Saccharomyces cerevisiae S288C: one gene and its partners. Changing the gene in region 2 together with the main gene of any one other region gives a genetic interaction. Each region holds a gene or a part of one and is shown on either strand. Other genes may lie near its edges. The genes, in order: MUD2, LSM1, VPS72 and ELG1.

What was found.
Region 1: mutations in LSM1 (region 2) and MUD2 together harm fitness more than expected from each alone (negative genetic interaction), as found in Saccharomyces cerevisiae (5 studies listed by BioGRID).
Region 3: mutations in LSM1 (region 2) and VPS72 together harm fitness more than expected from each alone (negative genetic interaction), as found in Saccharomyces cerevisiae (5 studies listed by BioGRID).
Region 4: mutations in LSM1 (region 2) and ELG1 together harm fitness more than expected from each alone (negative genetic interaction), as found in Saccharomyces cerevisiae (5 studies listed by BioGRID, with this or other methods).

Annotation. Positions count from the first base shown.
Region 1 is NC_001143.9:293,368-297,733, forward strand, and holds MUD2 (Mud2p), read right to left. Parts: upstream 2,827-4,366; coding exon 1,243-2,826; downstream 1-1,242. Other genes in the region: AAN1 (Aan1p), read right to left, coding at 1-941; Hsp70 family chaperone LHS1, read left to right, coding at 3,063-4,366. UniProt on the Saccharomyces cerevisiae protein: Splicing factor that contacts pre-mRNA directly and is a component of the pre-mRNA-U1 snRNP complex (commitment complex 2) that forms during early spliceosome assembly in yeast extracts.
Region 2 is NC_001142.9:186,376-189,678, forward strand, and holds LSM1 (Lsm1p), read right to left. Parts: upstream 1,270-3,303; coding exon 751-1,269; downstream 1-750. Other genes in the region: tRNA 1-methyladenosine methyltransferase subunit GCD14, read right to left, coding at 1-304; DUF5427 domain-containing protein MTC1, read right to left, coding at 1,629-3,065. UniProt on the Saccharomyces cerevisiae protein: Component of the cytoplasmic LSM1-LSM7 complex which is involved in mRNA degradation by activating the decapping step.
Region 3 is NC_001136.10:1,423,997-1,429,344, reverse strand, and holds VPS72 (Vps72p), read left to right. Parts: upstream 1-2,137; coding exon 2,138-4,525; downstream 4,526-5,348. Other genes in the region: PAC11 (dynein intermediate chain), read left to right, coding at 1-157; 3,4-dihydroxy-2-butanone-4-phosphate synthase RIB3, read left to right, coding at 365-991; VPS60 (Vps60p), read left to right, coding at 1,225-1,914; VPS52 (Vps52p), read right to left, coding at 4,657-5,348. UniProt on the Saccharomyces cerevisiae protein: Participates in the catalytic exchange of histone H2A for the H2A variant HTZ1, an euchromatin-specific factor, leading to chromatin remodeling and changes in transcription of targeted genes. Indirectly involved in vacuolar protein sorting.
Region 4 is NC_001147.6:602,217-606,799, forward strand, and holds ELG1 (Elg1p), read right to left. Parts: upstream 2,877-4,583; coding exon 501-2,876; downstream 1-500. Other genes in the region: THI80 (thiamine diphosphokinase), read right to left, coding at 1-126; PNO1 (Pno1p), read right to left, coding at 3,131-3,955; MDM32 (Mdm32p), read left to right, coding at 4,391-4,583.

The DNA of each region.
Region 1 (4,366 bases), on a different chromosome or scaffold from region 2:
TCTTCTCGAGCTTGCCATAACAGCTTTTGCGCTCTTTCCAGTCTTTCTTGGCTAACGGCATCATCCTTGCTCTCTTTTTCGCCTTTATCACCTTGGACATTTTCGGAGTCTTGTAGAGAAGGCAAGAATCCGTTCTTTTCGCTTTTGACCATAAGCTCATTGTATTCGTTATAGAGGGAGATAATTTTCATCATAGGCTTGTATAATTGCTGACAGACTTTCATTTCCGAGTAAGGTACAATGACTTTTTCCAAATAGTGATTGATCAGTCCTTCCATGAAGTTTGCCCAAATTGACGAAAATACATAATCCTCGTCGTAAGTCGATTCCGTAAAATCTTGGTTGATGTTATGCTGTATGATTTGCTCTGTAAGAGTTGGGAAAAGGTTTTTATGGCTTTTGACCATTTCATCTCTCAAAGCAGTAGATCCAGCGCTATCTGCTCCTTTAGTAGAATTTTCCAAACTATTATCTGTTGAAGACGCCTCTGAGTTCTTTTCACCATCTGTCTTATCTAGCCAGTATTCCGGACCACCCTTTTCAGACAATGTCACCAATAAAAGGAAGAGTTTTACTTTAACCCACGGGTTTAGCGAGTTTACATAGGCGTCCGTAATTTTGCTAACATCGATATTTATTTTTCTATGGATGCATTTGATAAATTTTTCAATGTAATGTGATTTTTTCAATCCGTATTTTTCATTCAGATATCCAACCGAAGTGATTACGTCGTAATTTGTATTTTCCATGTTCGTATGCTTCAAAAAGTTGAATGTTAACTTTCGTCTATTTCCATAATGTCTTTCTCTTTTCTCCTCACCTTTCTTCTTTCTTCTAATCTTTTTTTCTTTTGAAGCACCCAATTTAAGACATCTTTTACAGGTACAGTCCTTTAACGATGGCTCGTTGGCCGCTTGCTTGGGCAATAAATCTTTAGCCATCTTCTTTGGCGCGCTATACTAGGCTTGATTTATAATGTTAGTTATTCCAAAAATGTGAAGGAAATTGATCAAGGCAAGCTCTAATGATGATTATTGACCCATGCAACAAAAAAAGTTTGAATTCTCTTAATTTTCCAGATCGCAAGTTAGTAGTCAATCTGCTAACTTTCGTTATATTTCAAAAAAGTAATTGTACAAAAAAAGTCACCAAAAACGAGGACTTTTTTCACTGCGTTAAAGATTAGATCTACATAATGAATACTCAATTCTTTACTTAATTTCGCTCTACAAAATAGACCATTTAGGAAAGTTGGGTTGCTTCCATCATGTCAAAGTCGTCCTCATCTATATAAGTACACAGAACAGTGCGATCGTTGAATTGCGTACCCGGCAATTCTTCCATTGCGTGTTTTGCTGCCTCCAAGGTCTTGAACTTGATATAAATATTACCGGCTCCGGAAGCCAAGTTTTCAAAATTAAGTCTGTAATCGACGCCGGGTTGGCATATTTTAATCGTATCTGCTCCCGCGATACTATACTTTAATGTTTCTTTAATTTCTGTGATAAAGGTTTCATCTTTCAAATCCAATGGATCAAGACAATTTAAGAGCAACAAAACTCTCGATTCAACACGAACAGATTGGGTAACCAGATTTGGCAGGCTTTGAAACGTAATCCATGAAGTAACTTGTGATATCTTTCCATCATTTGGCTTGAACCATTTGTATGGTTTTAATTTATCAAGAATATCCTGAGTGACGACTTCAAACGATAATAGAATACATTTAGTGAATTCGGATTCTTTGCCAGTGTTGTTTGTATTGGACGAACATTTGTAAAAAAGTGGCTTAGCGGTACCGTTTGTTACATTCAATGACGAAAAAAGCTCTTTCATTCTATAATCTTCACCCTCGCCTATATTTTCCAAATTTTCCAATGCAATTACCGTACCCCTGCAAAAATCGACCAGATGATCAAGTTGTTGAACATAATCATTAGGTCTTCTCCATTTTAAGTCGAAAGTACCAAGCTTCGCATTAAAGAATGATCGACAGGCCAAAACCATAGTGCTACAGATCTGAGAACTAAACTCAACAATAATATGGTCCGGCCTTCCTTCACCAATATAAAAGTTGGAAATTTTAAAGTCCTCCGCATTACTCTCAGTTTTCTGGAGACCTGAAATAAAATTTTCCAGCAAATCTTTCAATCTTGCTACAATGCTGGGGTCGCTGCTTTGAGACAAGCCCGAAATTACAAGCCTTGAATTTGCCTTGGATGAGGCCATGTTGTAGTAAGCCGGAGAATCGAATGATGAACCCGGGTACATTACATTTTGGGAATTATAGTTCATGTCATATTTATTAGTTTGCAACTGCCTTTTATCACGGTCGCCATTGAATTTAGAACCTTCGTTCTTCCTTTGGTAATTGAAACGATCGTAGTTTCCGTTTCCATTTCTTCCCCTTCTATCGAACCTTTCATTTCTTCCTCTTCTTTCATCCCGTTGCCTATTATAGGGATTGTTGTTCCATTGGGGCCCAGTATTGTGACTACTATACCGATTCTCCCTGTTATATGATCTTCCCGATGCATCCCGATAACTTTGACGATGAGGACCTGCCCTTGTTTGTTCATAAGTCGTTCGATTCGTGCTCATAGTAATTATTGACGATGGTCCTCTGTTATTAGAATGTGAAACGTTTCTACTTTTTGGCGCTTTCGGAAGCTCACCGTCACTTTTTTGCCTCTTAAAATGTGTATCTATAACTGCATTATCCGTGTTGAATCTTTTGTTCTCAATCGGCACAACATCCTTTTCTGATTTTCCTATAGACTCCATTATTTTGGATCTCAAATCCTCCAGTCTCTTTTCATCAGCCATCTCCGTGTGCTTGTTTTCTGTGTCAATTAACTTTCCTTTTCTACTTCTTTTATATTAGCATGTACAGTTTAATTTCTCATCTCGAATTTTTTCAGCACTTGCTAATTAGGCGCGCGCCTCAAATATATAATATCGAACACGCTGTTATAAAAGTGATCCATTCTACAGCGTAATATTAACAGTATCGCTCCTGCAGTATTCTGGCATTATTAGTGCAAATAAGTACGCATATTACCATGCGAAACGTTTTAAGGCTTTTATTTTTAACAGCTTTTGTTGCTATAGGGTCTTTAGCAGCCGTTTTAGGTGTTGATTACGGTCAGCAAAATATCAAGGCCATTGTGGTTTCTCCGCAAGCCCCATTAGAACTTGTGCTCACACCAGAGGCAAAACGGAAGGAGATATCTGGTCTTTCGATAAAAAGATTACCAGGTTATGGAAAGGATGATCCGAATGGGATTGAAAGAATCTACGGTTCCGCTGTTGGCAGTTTAGCAACAAGGTTTCCCCAAAACACATTGTTGCATTTGAAACCGCTACTTGGGAAATCACTAGAAGATGAAACCACTGTAACTTTGTATTCAAAACAACACCCCGGTTTAGAAATGGTATCAACAAATAGAAGTACCATAGCCTTTTTAGTTGATAATGTGGAATATCCATTGGAAGAGTTAGTGGCAATGAATGTCCAAGAGATTGCCAATAGAGCCAATTCACTGTTGAAGGATAGAGATGCAAGAACTGAGGACTTTGTAAACAAGATGAGTTTTACAATTCCTGACTTTTTTGACCAACATCAAAGGAAAGCACTTTTAGATGCCAGTTCAATAACCACAGGAATCGAAGAGACATATCTGGTTAGTGAAGGGATGTCTGTTGCAGTTAACTTTGTATTAAAGCAGCGCCAATTTCCACCAGGTGAACAGCAGCATTATATCGTATATGACATGGGGAGCGGTTCTATTAAGGCCTCAATGTTCTCTATATTGCAGCCGGAGGACACTACTCAGCCCGTTACAATAGAATTTGAAGGATATGGGTATAATCCACATCTAGGTGGTGCAAAGTTTACAATGGATATTGGCAGTTTGATAGAGAATAAGTTTTTGGAAACACACCCAGCCATAAGAACTGATGAATTGCACGCTAATCCCAAGGCCTTAGCAAAAATCAACCAAGCAGCAGAGAAGGCAAAGTTAATTTTAAGCGCCAATTCTGAGGCAAGTATTAACATAGAATCACTGATCAACGATATTGATTTCCGTACTTCTATAACTAGACAGGAATTCGAAGAATTTATTGCAGACTCGTTATTGGACATTGTCAAACCCATAAATGACGCTGTTACAAAACAATTCGGTGGCTATGGAACAAATTTACCTGAGATAAATGGGGTCATTTTGGCGGGAGGCTCTTCCCGAATTCCCATTGTGCAGGATCAATTAATCAAACTCGTATCCGAAGAAAAAGTGTTGAGAAATGTCAATGCTGATGAATCAGCTGTGAATGGTGTTGTTATGAGAGGGATCAAGTTATCTAA
Region 2 (3,303 bases):
TGTAGGAAGAGTCGGGCGTATATACAATTTGAGTTCTGTGTGGTAACGACAAAGTCCACAATTCAGGAGTTGGTTGCAGAACATGGACGAATGCAAACTTATTTGAGCCCTTTGTTCTTATAGCAATTTGAGAACCATAAGGTTTACCTATGATATCCTTATGAGGAAATGAACCATAACGAGTATTGAATACCTCTTCGGAATGCATCCTTACCGGTTTGATGTTATCTCTAGAAACCCATATTAGAGTTAAATCGCCTTCCTTGATGAGGTCTTTGTAACCGGAAAAACAATTTGTTGACATTTCTAAATCTGCGTAATCTTAGCTACCTGATAGTCCCACCCCGATCTTATTCACATATATTTTCTATATACTTTAAACAGTTTTAAAAGTGATGAGCATGGAAAAAAATTCGTTGCTAACGGCATGGCATAAACAAAAAGCGAAAAAATTTTATAGATAATAATAAAGAAAAAGTATCAATAGCATGAGTGTTAATGTTATAACGAAGTGTAAGAGGAAAAAGAATGCTGCGCAAATACGTTACTTCATAAAAAAACTCAAGTACTGTATATATTTTACATTTAAATATATTAATTTATATACAAATACGGCCTCCTCTCTTGCATTTTTTTTATTGTTCCATCTCCAAAGGCAGTTGATTAAGTGTACGGATAGGTAAAACTGAATGTGGAAATTTTTGAGAGTTTACTCCAGGATATATGTTGGTAGTATTGTGTTTTTCTTTCTTAGTACATGTCAGATTTATGGAAATCGTAAACGATACCATGGCGGGCCATTTTTTTACCTTTGTGGGTTTCCTCTTTAAACCTTTTCTCATCATTTTTTTGCTTGGTCAGCCAAGCCTCCTTAAATGGTATGCGTTCCATGGCCTCAAGGGGTTGATCTTCTTTATCGATGTCTACTTCGCCTAACATGACAACATTTTCACCACGAATCATGAATATGCCGCGGTCTTCTTCAGCGTATTTGTTTTCTTCGCTAAAATATATTCTCTCCACGCAATCTTGAAGTATCAAATTTGCATATTGGTCAAAGGTTCTTAGTACACCGAATAGCATTCTTCCATCACGCAAAAGAACGAAGATTTTACGGTCTACTGAGCTTACAATAGCAGCGGTGGTAGTGAAGTTATACTGGTCGAGATATAAATCGGCCTCACCTTCTGAAATCTTCTTTGGGAAATTCTGCTGTTGTCGCTTCGCATCCTGATTGGACTGATTTCTGTCCTTGCTATTTGCAGACATTTTTGGTGAATTAATTCGATTCGAGGGCTGCTTTCTTTTATAGGTTTTGAAAGCGGAGCAAATGTTGGTATAACTCTACTGCAGCGTTGGCAATCCTGTTGAAAAGGAAAAGAAAATATAACTAAACTGTGTTACTTGTATCTTCACTAATATTTAATCAGCCCTTGGTCATACAGGCTTCCCCTAGATTGAAATACAGGTGCTGAACACCGTTGTATATTCACGACTTCCTCTATTTTTTTCATATTTTCCATTATTCAACGAACGCGGGTAACAAGTCGGCCGAATTTGAACCCACTCCTCTGCGCTTGTAACTTTATACATCATCGTTACGCTATAAATGTTATGTATTAAGTGTATCAAAGACCCATACGGTCAATGACATAATTCTGTGCCATGACCCCAAATGACAAGCTTAATCCATCTTCGATCCATTCCTTTACCCATTCACTAGGATCAATGATCTCATCGTCTTCGTCTTCGTCTTCACTTTCTTTTTGTTTCTTTTGATCGTATGACTTATTCCTCTCCTCACTTGCTGTTGATCCTGTTTTCTCCACGGATCCTTCTAGCCAATTGACCCATTTGACAGGGAATCCTTGTGATCTTGTTATGGTGGTAATATCGTTAGTTATGTCTTTCAATACAAGGGTGAAATTGAAATTGCCTGGCGTATTGGAGTCGGTCACTTGAAAGTCACCGTCGGCATCTTTTTGTTTTTGCGGAATGGCAATTGGTAAGATGGATATGAATAAATCACTGATTTTATTGCTGTTACTGCTAATAGAACTCCTATCGTCATCTGGAGTGGCATCAGCCTCTTTCTGTTGTTTCTGGTATTCCTCATGTGCAGTATTGAAGAGTTTGACTGCATTTTCCAGGTTTGCAAATGCCAGTTTCTCACCGTCTGTTACCTTGCCGTCGAATAGATTAAACTGTAATTTTTTTTTAGAGTTGCCTAACTCACCGTCTGCAACTGAAGGCTTTTTTTCCACAGGTGTAATTCCATTATTGTTAGGATGGCCCCATTCATCTACAAATATTCTGATTCCTCCCTCAACTTGTGAGCTTAGAACTTGATCAAACTTGCTTTCAATATTGTATTGTAATGAGGGATAGTTAACCAAATCATGGACTAGATGAATTCGCAGCACCTCTTCAGTCTCACCAACAACGATTTTCTGTAAGTTTCTGGCTATTTCAGTAATCGTGCTCGTGTTTATCTTTGAAGTCAAATCAAGCTGTTCTTGGGCAAGTCGGTTTTTGATCTGGGATGCTTGTTCTGCAGTTTTATTCCAAATACTCGATACCTTTGCGGATCCAGAGGAGGACCACCAGTTTGAAATAGAAGCAATTGGGTCATGCAATGGGGTCTCCTCCTCCTCCTCTTCTTCTTCTTCTTCTTCCTCCTCTTCTTCTTCTTTCTCCTGCTGCTGTGGTTCCTTTTCCTTTCCGTGAGCGTCCTGCTCGGAATTTTTGTTTTCTTTTGATTCTTCTACTTTTTCGTCTTGTGCTTTATTATTAACTGATTCACTGGGAGCCTTCTTTTCAACCCCTTTCTTGTCAGTTAAGCTTAAGTTACTCTTCTCCAACTCTTCTAAGAATTCAAAGATATCATCGTCACCTTTCTTTCCATCATTCCCGGTCTTGCCCGCCACAGAATTAGAACCTCCCTTAACGCCTTCTTGGCTACCCTTTACGTCAGTATTAACCATTTTCCCGCCATTCTTTGCTTCTGGCAAAGAATCTAAAAATTCAAATACGTCTTCAGCCTCAGAGTTCTTATTTTCAGACATTTTGCCCTGGTAGTATGTATGTTTTTAATCGATTGAGTCTAGTTAACCTGTCCCTTGTTCTATTCTTCACCGTCTCGTCCAACTTCCATCAAAGAACCAGAAACCAGAAAATCGCCGGTTTCTTCCACGCGTCAATCCGTTTGGAATGATCTCATCGCAAAATTTTTTTTCGCTAAAATTTTCATAGAGAGTATCAATATTAATATATGGTTATAACTTATGGCGGCATTAGTCGATG
Region 3 (5,348 bases), on a different chromosome or scaffold from region 2:
GCCCGTACTACGTGCACGCTGGCTCGAAAAAAACAATGGAGGGGAAAATAGTCGCACTCTACGGTGTCAAGTGTGGTGTGCAGATGGTCGCCTCGTTGTTGTAAATTGGGCTTTCGATGCTAAGACGTCCCTCTACACGGCCACTGTTATCTCCTAACGCCGCTTCGAGGCGGGTGAGCATAGGTTATTGCCTGATGAGTAATTTCTTAGCGAGAATTGATAAAAAAAAGCAAGGCTATTATTAATATACGTGCTATTGTGAAATTTTCATTGGCGTATATATGTGAGGTGAATGTAAATATCTCCAACAAAAAGCAGAAGGCTAAAAAAAAGGAAAGGAAAAGAAGAAAAGGCAACGTCGAAAATGTTTACACCAATTGATCAAGCTATAGAACACTTCAAGCAGAATAAGTTTGTAATTGTTATGGACGATGCCGGTCGTGAAAATGAAGGTGATCTTATTTGCGCTGCTGAAAATGTCAGCACTGAACAAATGGCCTTTCTTGTACGCCATTCCTCAGGCTACGTCTGTGCACCTATGACGAATGCCATTGCTGATAAGTTGGACCTTCCACTACTGAGAACAGGCATGAAGTTTGAATCCAATGATGACGACAGGCATGGAACTGCATACACAATAACTGTAGATGTAGCCCAAGGCACTACCACAGGTATTTCTGCTCACGACAGGTCGATGACTTGTAGGGCTCTTGCAGACTCTTCCTCTACGCCAAAATCATTTTTAAAACCAGGGCACATCTGTCCCTTGAGAGCCGCTGATGGCGGTGTTTTGCAGAGAAGAGGCCACACTGAGGCCGGTGTCGATTTGTGTAAACTAAGTGGACTAAGTCCCGTCGCTGTTATTGGCGAATTGGTTAACGATGACGAACAAGGAACTATGATGAGATTAAATGACTGCCAAGCGTTTGGTAAGAAACATGGCATTCCTTTGATCTCCATCGAAGAATTGGCCCAATATTTGAAGAAATAATCTGGTGAACATTTTCTCCATTCATTCTATCACAACAGACTCACACATATATACATGTATATATTTGTAACTTTGTATATATCTTTTGTTTTTTGACCTTTTTCTTCCTCTATGTTTTTCAGCCATACAAAAATATGGGATTTTTAGCAAGAGAAAAAGTACATCTAAAAAAAGTAGTAATAGGAGGAAGCCAAGATTGGTTGAAACACAGTTATAAACTCTTCAAGGCAATTATGAACAGGATTTTCGGATATGGGAACAAAAAGAGCCATGATCAGCTCTTACAAGAGTCGAATCAGTCCATGAATCAGGCCCAACAATCACTATCGAACAGAATATCCCAGTTAGATACTCAAATCGCCCAGTTAAACTTCCAGCTGCAAAATATTCAAAAGAATTTGCAAAGATCAAACAACAAGCAACCCTCGTTAAGAAAACAGGCTTTGAAGATTTTAAATAAACGTAAACAGTTAGAAAATATGAAGGATTCTTTAGATTCTCAATCCTGGTCCATGACGCAAGCCCAGTTAACAAATGATAACTTACAGAACACAATGATCACTATAAACGCACTAAAGCAAACAAACAATGCCATGAAGGCTCAATACGGCAAGATAAATATCGACAAACTACAGGACATGCAGGATGAGATGCTGGATTTAATAGAACAAGGGGATGAGCTGCAAGAAGTCTTGGCAATGAATAATAACAGTGGCGAGCTCGACGACATTAGTGATGCAGAGCTGGATGCAGAGCTGGATGCTCTGGCACAAGAGGATTTCACTTTGCCAACCAGCGAAAACTCATTAGGTAACGATATGCCCAGTTACTTACTAGGTGCGAATGCGCCACCGGCTTTTATTGATGAAGAGCCAAACTTAGATACTGAAGACAAAAATAAAGCTTTAGAAAGCGCTCAGTGAAAACAAAAAGCACACAAAGTTGCATATTCAGAATTTTTCTCTCCTTTCCCTTTTCTTTATATTCTCTTTGCTGGTAAGCCAAAATATGTACCTTATTTAGGTTTTAGTAGTTTTCTTTTTTCTTTGTTAAAAAAATCCTGATGGAAAAAACAGTAAGCAGAAAGCACCATGTAGTCTAATGAATACAAATAGAAGTGAAACCGAAGCAAATTCACAGTGCACGATGAGTGATGAAGGTGCTGATAAAAGTCTAGATACTAACACAGAATTTATTATACAAACACGATCTAGGAGGTCTAATGCCGGTAATAAATTACAAAAACTATTGGAGCAGGAGCTAAGAGATATAGAATCTACCAAAAGACAAATTTCTTCCTATAAGAATGGTAATGATGATGAAGAAGATGAAATAGGGCTGTTGTTTCAGGAAGATGAAGATGATGAAGATTTCGAAATGATGGCAAAAGATGACGATGATGAAGGGGAAGAAAAAGAAGATGAGACTCAAAGTATAAGGAAAGAGCCCTCTCAGGCTTCAAGTGAGCAAGCAGCCGATGACTTAATGTTCAGCAGTAGCGAATCTGAGGACTCCAGCAACGAGAATGATGAAGATGCAGAGGAAAAGGAAATACGAAGACAAGAACTACTTTCAAGAAAGAAAAGAAACAAGAGATTACAGAAGGGTCCCGTTGTAATCAAAAAACAAAAACCTAAGCCTAAGTCAGGAGAAGCTATACCAAGATCGCACCATACCCATGAACAATTAAACGCAGAGACGTTACTATTAAATACAAGGAGAACTTCTAAAAGATCATCGGTAATGGAAAACACGATGAAAGTTTATGAGAAATTGTCTAAAGCTGAAAAAAAGAGAAAAATTATACAAGAAAGAATAAGGAAACACAAGGAGCAGGAGTCTCAGCATATGCTGACACAAGAAGAGAGGCTACGGATTGCCAAGGAGACTGAGAAGCTGAATATTTTGTCACTGGATAAGTTCAAGGAACAAGAAGTTTGGAAAAAGGAGAATCGTCTAGCTTTGCAGAAAAGACAAAAGCAGAAATTCCAGCCAAATGAGACTATACTGCAATTTTTATCTACTGCTTGGCTAATGACGCCAGCGATGGAGTTAGAAGATCGTAAATATTGGCAGGAACAATTGAATAAACGTGATAAGAAGAAGAAAAAATATCCGAGGAAGCCAAAGAAGAATTTAAATCTCGGAAAACAGGACGCATCAGATGATAAAAAGCGGGAGAGTGAAGAATCGATAAAGAACGATGGCGACGTGAATTCTTTGGGTGAGAATTCTTCATCTGTACACAACCAGAAAAGGATTGAGGAAACTTCTACTAACGATACAGTTGAAGGAGAATCGAGTCCAGATGCAGCGGTGAGTAGAGTAAATTCAGACGAATTAAAGCCAACAGCATTACCTGATGTTACATTGGACGCAATTGCAAACAAGCAGAGTACCGTTGATGAAGCTCCCAACAGCCAACCACAAAAGAATATAATAACTAATGAGCAAAAAATTACCAATGTAGGCGAACCGATACAAAATTTACATAATGAAGAAATTAAAGATGAAATGGTAAGTGCTCTCGAGAGCAGGGAAAATACTTTTGAAAACTCATCACCTGCTGCCCAAGTGGTCTCACAAAGGGATAATTCTGCAACACCTACACCATCAAACTCCACTGGCACTGAAGATACTATATTGATCTCTCCGGATACGGATATAAAAGGAGAGCCTGAACCTTGTCTGAAAACCGAAGGCATCGAGAACTTATCTCATAATGTACCACAAGAGACCAAAAGCAATACTGATGTTTCTTTCTTGAAACAAGTAACGTTTACCGACCATCCGCAAGTGGCCATAATCGATACTGAAGAGTCACCCTCAAAAAAAGATACAGCTAATGTTGATGAATCTTCCGCGGAAAACTCTTTATCAACACAGACCTACGAAGGGCCTGAGCAATTAACCTCAAGGAACTTTGTTACACTTTATGATTTTCCTAATGCTCCTCCAAATCTAAAAGATTTTAACACAAACTTATTTGGTGATCGATGGTCATACACAAATGGGTTATCCGCCACTCAGCGTCCACAAGATATGAAAACTGTTTTCCACTCCATTTTACCATCACCTCCTCAGTCTTCAGTACCGTCTCCTACCGTAGATATATCACTTGATCTGTCAGCTCTGGCAAATTTCCCATCTTTTGGGGAATACGATAAGAAAATAGTCCATCAAATCAACACAGAGATAAATAAGGATTTGGAAATCAAAATTAAAACACAGCCTCCAACGGGTGTCTTCTTAGCCAATGGTATAAGAAAAAAATGTTTAATCACAAATAAAGAATGTCAGTACTTTGATCCAAGGACTGGTGTGCCTTATTCTGATGTGGAAGCTTATAAAATTATTCAGCGGATTCAAGATCCTATTTCTAAGGAGGAGGGAAGGTCAGATATCAAGCGTGATGAAACGACAAATGAGGATAGTGACGATCAAGTGAGATTCAAGTGGTTTGGGTTCAAAAACGGCGGTATTTACCTTGATTTAAGTCAAAGACCTGCAAAAGGTGTTCCTGAAGGATTTTAATTGAGACAGACTATATAATGGTAGGTCGTTAAACATTTGACTATATTCCACACAAAATAAGAAATCATAAAGATCATTTTACATAAAAATATACTTTATACGCTCCATGTCTTATACAATCGTTACATTCATCAATTTCTGGTGAAAGCTTCAACTAAAGTTTTGAAATGATTTTCGGTCTCTCTGATTATTAGTGGTACGCTTGAATCATTATCGTCGTCATTCGCAACTTTCGTACCAACATTTTCAGCAGAATCAAAATTGTAGTTTTGTGCATCCGAGTCATTTATATTTAAATGTAGATGCAATTGCTGTAGGTTATTGTATAAATACATGTAATTTGTAGCCAGAAATCTTTCTGGTGATTTCGTCTTTTTACTGCACTTTGTCATGACTGTTTCGAAATCATTTCTTAATCTAATGATGGAATTGTATAAGGGTTCAGATCTTTCGTCTATGGACTGCTTATGTGTTATTGCCAACGTCAAGAAGCTTGATAAAAATTTACCGAACTGTACAGTTAACTCATGAGGTGAGGTCAAAGGGCTACTATTGGATGTGCTTGAGTTGCCGGCATATTTTGCCACATTTGTAGTTATTGCCGCTTTTCGTAAGCTCTCGCATTGAAAATCGACCAATTGCTGAAATCGAGGCCATAATTGAATTAATTGACCATTCAAGAAACTATCAAACATAGACGGTATTCCTCTCCTTTCTGATTCAAATTGTAATTGATTGGCCACACGAATACTTATTAATACACCAAAAATGTCATAATTATATTGGATCAGTTGTTGAGTGTATGTTGTGGCTTCATCAAAAG
Region 4 (4,583 bases), on a different chromosome or scaffold from region 2:
GAGTAGGGTAGAGTTTTCATCCTCGTTTGGATGGATTAGTTCTTTTAAGTTCATTTTATTTCGGATGTTGATTAAATCAGTACCAATTTTAATACGTTCAGGATTTTCAATACACTCCTCGCTCATAGCAGTGATATTCAGCTTTTTATTGTTCTTTGTGACCAATTGTGATCTACAAATTTCTAGCTTTTATCAAAACCACAGTACTTAAGAAGCTAAATCTTTTATAAACGCCTTATCATTCACGCTTTATTTGTAATTCCCATCAGCCATTTTTTTTCAAGTTTTCGCATATTTTGCATTTTTCGCTGTTTTGAAATATGCACTATGAGGAAATAAAGGCAACTATTAGAAGGAATTTAGGATTGTGCTGCATTTGCTTAATGCAAGGTTGCAGAATTTATTGATATATAAAGTAGTAGTATATTTCCCCGCACTACCATGCTATATTTATTATACATACGTGTTCCTGTAACGATGCACGCAATTTCATATCAGTGTTATTTGTTCTTTGAAAAGCCTGAGTGCAAATGCTCCCATTTTCTCACGACTATGCTCGGATCAGCGTTGAACCATACGTTTTTCAAGACACCCTCTTGTGACAACTGATAGACCAAATCTTTGTATCGTCTTTCTGATACATTTTCACTATGCAACTCAAATATTTGTTTGTTTTCATTCTTGACATTGGCGTCACTTTTAGCGATTTCAAAAACGAAGGGATTGATCTCCGCTTTAATTTGTTGAGTTGTGGCGCTCAGCAGATCAATCTCGGCATTTTCGTTCAGAGTTTCATCATTATAAATTCCTTTGAATTGGTTCAAAATATCAGAAATTTTCTTCGAATTTCTCGTCCTTCTTGCCGACTGAAGATGGTCATACTTCGGTATTCTTGACGCCAAAAAATTTAATGTAGATTCTGTCATTTTTTTGAACCTGTTAACAAGGTATTCGTTATCAAGCCTATGGTTTGCTTCTCTAACATAGGAATACCGAGCTTCCAATTGTTCTTGGATGTGTTGGTAAATATTCAATTCAAACGGTAATAACGGTTGTCTATTGGGGTCATTTAAATGCAATTTATAATCTATCACGTAATCAAATTTTAGTTTCATTTCATCATCCAGATTTTGATCCTGGAAAGTATTAACTTTTTCTGGGGTCATTGTGGTAGAATCTATTTCTTGTCTAACCATGGAACGATTGAGCGTTGCTTGACCAATAACATCATTTATGGAGAGTAGATCAGTTAATTGCGATATATCTTTAACGCTTGAACCAAGAGTTGATGTTAGGACCGGTAGTCTGTTCTTGGATGAAATCAAATCAGCCTCAGTATCAACGCACCAAAACTGCAAGTGCATCAAGCACTTCCTAATATCCGCATTATTTTGTTTTACAACATCGCGAAGCCAGTCGTCACAAACTTCGATTTCAAGGGACTTTAAATATTTTGTTAGAAACGCATAGACTGTGGATGTACTAATTTTCTTAGTATGAAACAAAGAGTTTTGTTCACTTGCCAAGGCAATAAGTTCACTAGGAACTAGTGACAAATCCTTACAAGTCAATACGAGGGGCCTTCGTGAAAATTCACAAAGCTTGCTGATCATTGCCCAATATCCCCTATCATGTTCTTTAAATAAAACATCAACATCATTAAATAAAACAAGCCCGTAGTCACTTTTCCTTTTTGAGGAATCTTTGACATAGTGTGTGGTGGTAAAATCTAGTAGGATATCAAGCAAATCTTTTTTGCTCCTGTTCATGTTTGAATTAACTTCATATATCTGGTAAGAATTATCGTCGCCAGCAATCTCTCTCATGATTGTCTGTATCAGCGTTTTCTTGCCTATTGAATTTCCGTGTAATATCATTAGTGGAACAAATTCGCTCAAGCTGCTATTTGCTTCGCCATTTCTGTAGAAATCTGGACGCAAGTTTTCGTCTTCTTCGAGATCAGGTACAATGAAGTTGGCAAGCTCATCACCAGATCCCTGTTGTTTATTGGGATTTATTCTGTTCAATAGACGGTTCCTCAAGGTAGGCTTTTCTAGCGTATGAAAGGATGTTTCAATCCAATTTTTGATTCGAAGTTTCAATTTGGGTTCAATTAATACTTGTTTTAAAGTGACAGGCTTGAATAGCTGCGGCCATGTGAGAGTTGTATTTCTTTTAATATTTGTGCCAAGTAATACCGGTGCTTGATAGCGAACAGGAATACAAGATGCTGAATTCTTGTCTTTCAACGATTCATAGTCACTAGGAAGAAAATTATGATTTAATGGCGGTATTGTGCGGAAAGGAAGCGGGATATCAACACTCCGATCTGACAGCTCTTTGTCACCTACTGGGAAAATCGATTGATGTAATGGTAATGGTGGCTCTATTTCATTTAGTTTAGAGATGCTATTTAATCTTTTGAACGTGTCGGTTGTCTCATGTTTAAGGAAGTTTTTAATCTTTGATGCTCTTTCATTAAGAAGCGATGATTTGATTCTCGATGTGGAAATTATAGAAATATCATCTTCATGCTCCTGCGAAAGTGCAATTTTGCTACAATTAGTCTCACTTTTGGGACTCTTATCACTGATTACAATAAGATCATCATCGTCGTCATCGCATTTTTCTTTTGTGCGTTTCGTCATCAAAAACTCCTTTGCAGATTTGTGATTAGTAGAAACAGCTTCAATTGGCTTCACAACAGAGTGGTTTAAAAATATTACTGAAGAATCGTCATGTTTGGCTGTTCTGGCGTCAAAAGTGCCTGATTCAGTATCATTTTCGTCATCGATGGTAATCTGTAGAGCATCTTGTCTTCTCACTTTTCTCTTATTTCCTGTCAATATATCAGATAAAGACACGTGCCTTTTCATTGGAAAACCTTCTCTGATTCAAAAAGTTTAATGCTATGGTACCATACGATTTAGTGCAGCGAAGGTGGTCAGTGAAGACGTTAAATACATGAAGCAAATAGCCGGATAATAATACTAAACTAATTTATCACCGCTAACGTTACGCGTTTGGCGTCCTAAAAAAAAGAAGGAAAAAAAAACCTATTTATTCACTCTATTTCGCCATAAAACGACATATAAATATTATACAGATGATGAAAGCCCACAAATTATGTTTAGTAGCGTTCTTTTAATCTAGATGCAACGGTACGTAAGTTCCCATAAACTTTACCTGGAGGGGAACCCAAAATTAAACTAACCACAGATTCTCTTGCCATTCTGATGTGGGTGAACCCGCCCAAAATGTGGATTTTAGAGTCAGCTAAGACAATTCTTGTTCTTGTAGCGTTTTCAATCGCAAATTTCGTTTTACCGTCTTTACCGGCAATACGACCGATGGCTCTCGACAAATGGTCACCTGTTAGAGTCTTGACATCTTTGACTTCAAAAGTCTCAATATATAAATCATCTAGCCTCAATAGTGCGATAGAATCGTCAAGATCAAACCCTAAGGTAAAGGCTTTGATAAAATCGGCCCCTTTTTGCAACGCACCAGGGTCTGTGGTAAATTTAGGATTCGTTCTTAGTTCTACGGATTTGGTCTTTAAATTCATTCTGACTTGCAGCTTCAAGTGCTCGACCAAAGGAGGATAAATTTTTGTCCAACTGTTCCTCAAGGGTGTCATTCTGTGTGGTGGAACCATGATCTTTCTCGATTCAAATTTTATTTTGTTACCCTGTGTTTTGCTAGCTGAAGTGAAGCGAGGTTTCCCCTGGTCATCAACCACTACGGTCTTAGATTCGTGCGTTTTCCGGCTACCTTCTTCGCCCTCTACCTCTTCTTTTGCTGTGTTATTGTCGGAATCATCTAACAGAACGTCGTCATCATCGTCCTCATCGATGCTTTCGGTATTATTTATTCCTATAATTCTACTACTGCCCCCATCTTGTCCACTTACAGGTGTCACAGTAGCCTTTTTCAAAGCAGTAGGCGCAACCATAATGTAGTTTATTTTCACTTCAAGTCTTTTTCTTAACTAAACAGAAGAATATTGAAAACTGCCTATTATTGATGCAATATGTATCTTTCATTGTGATGAGCATCGGTATGATAATAAGGAAAGAAGAAAAATTTTTTCCCGCTCGCACTTTCCGTAAGAGGTGATAAAAAACAGACCTAATACTGTAGTAATCTTAACTGCATTTAGCCCTACATTTATTATTTATGACCTTACTCTTCATATGTAGGTTAAAAAATTCGTATAAAGACACATTTGACTTTTTGTCACTTTTTTTTACTTCTCGTTATTGGTTCTAGCTGATCCTTGACTTACTATGGAGGGATGCATATTAAAGTTGACAGTAGATTTGCGTCAAGAAGTATTAAAACAAAAGGCACATACAGATTATCAGGTGGTGGGAGGTTTATAAAATTCATGCTAATCACACGTTTACGGGTCCCTACAATAAAGCGGCCACTGCTTCCAATTACAAGTCATCTCGTAAGACACTGTATTCGAACTTACGTCGCAACTAATCATGGAAATGTCAGACCTTTTATAACACCTTACAAGAGTTCGTTACCTGTTAGATGTTTGATCGCCCAAAGGCACATCCGAACATTTCCAA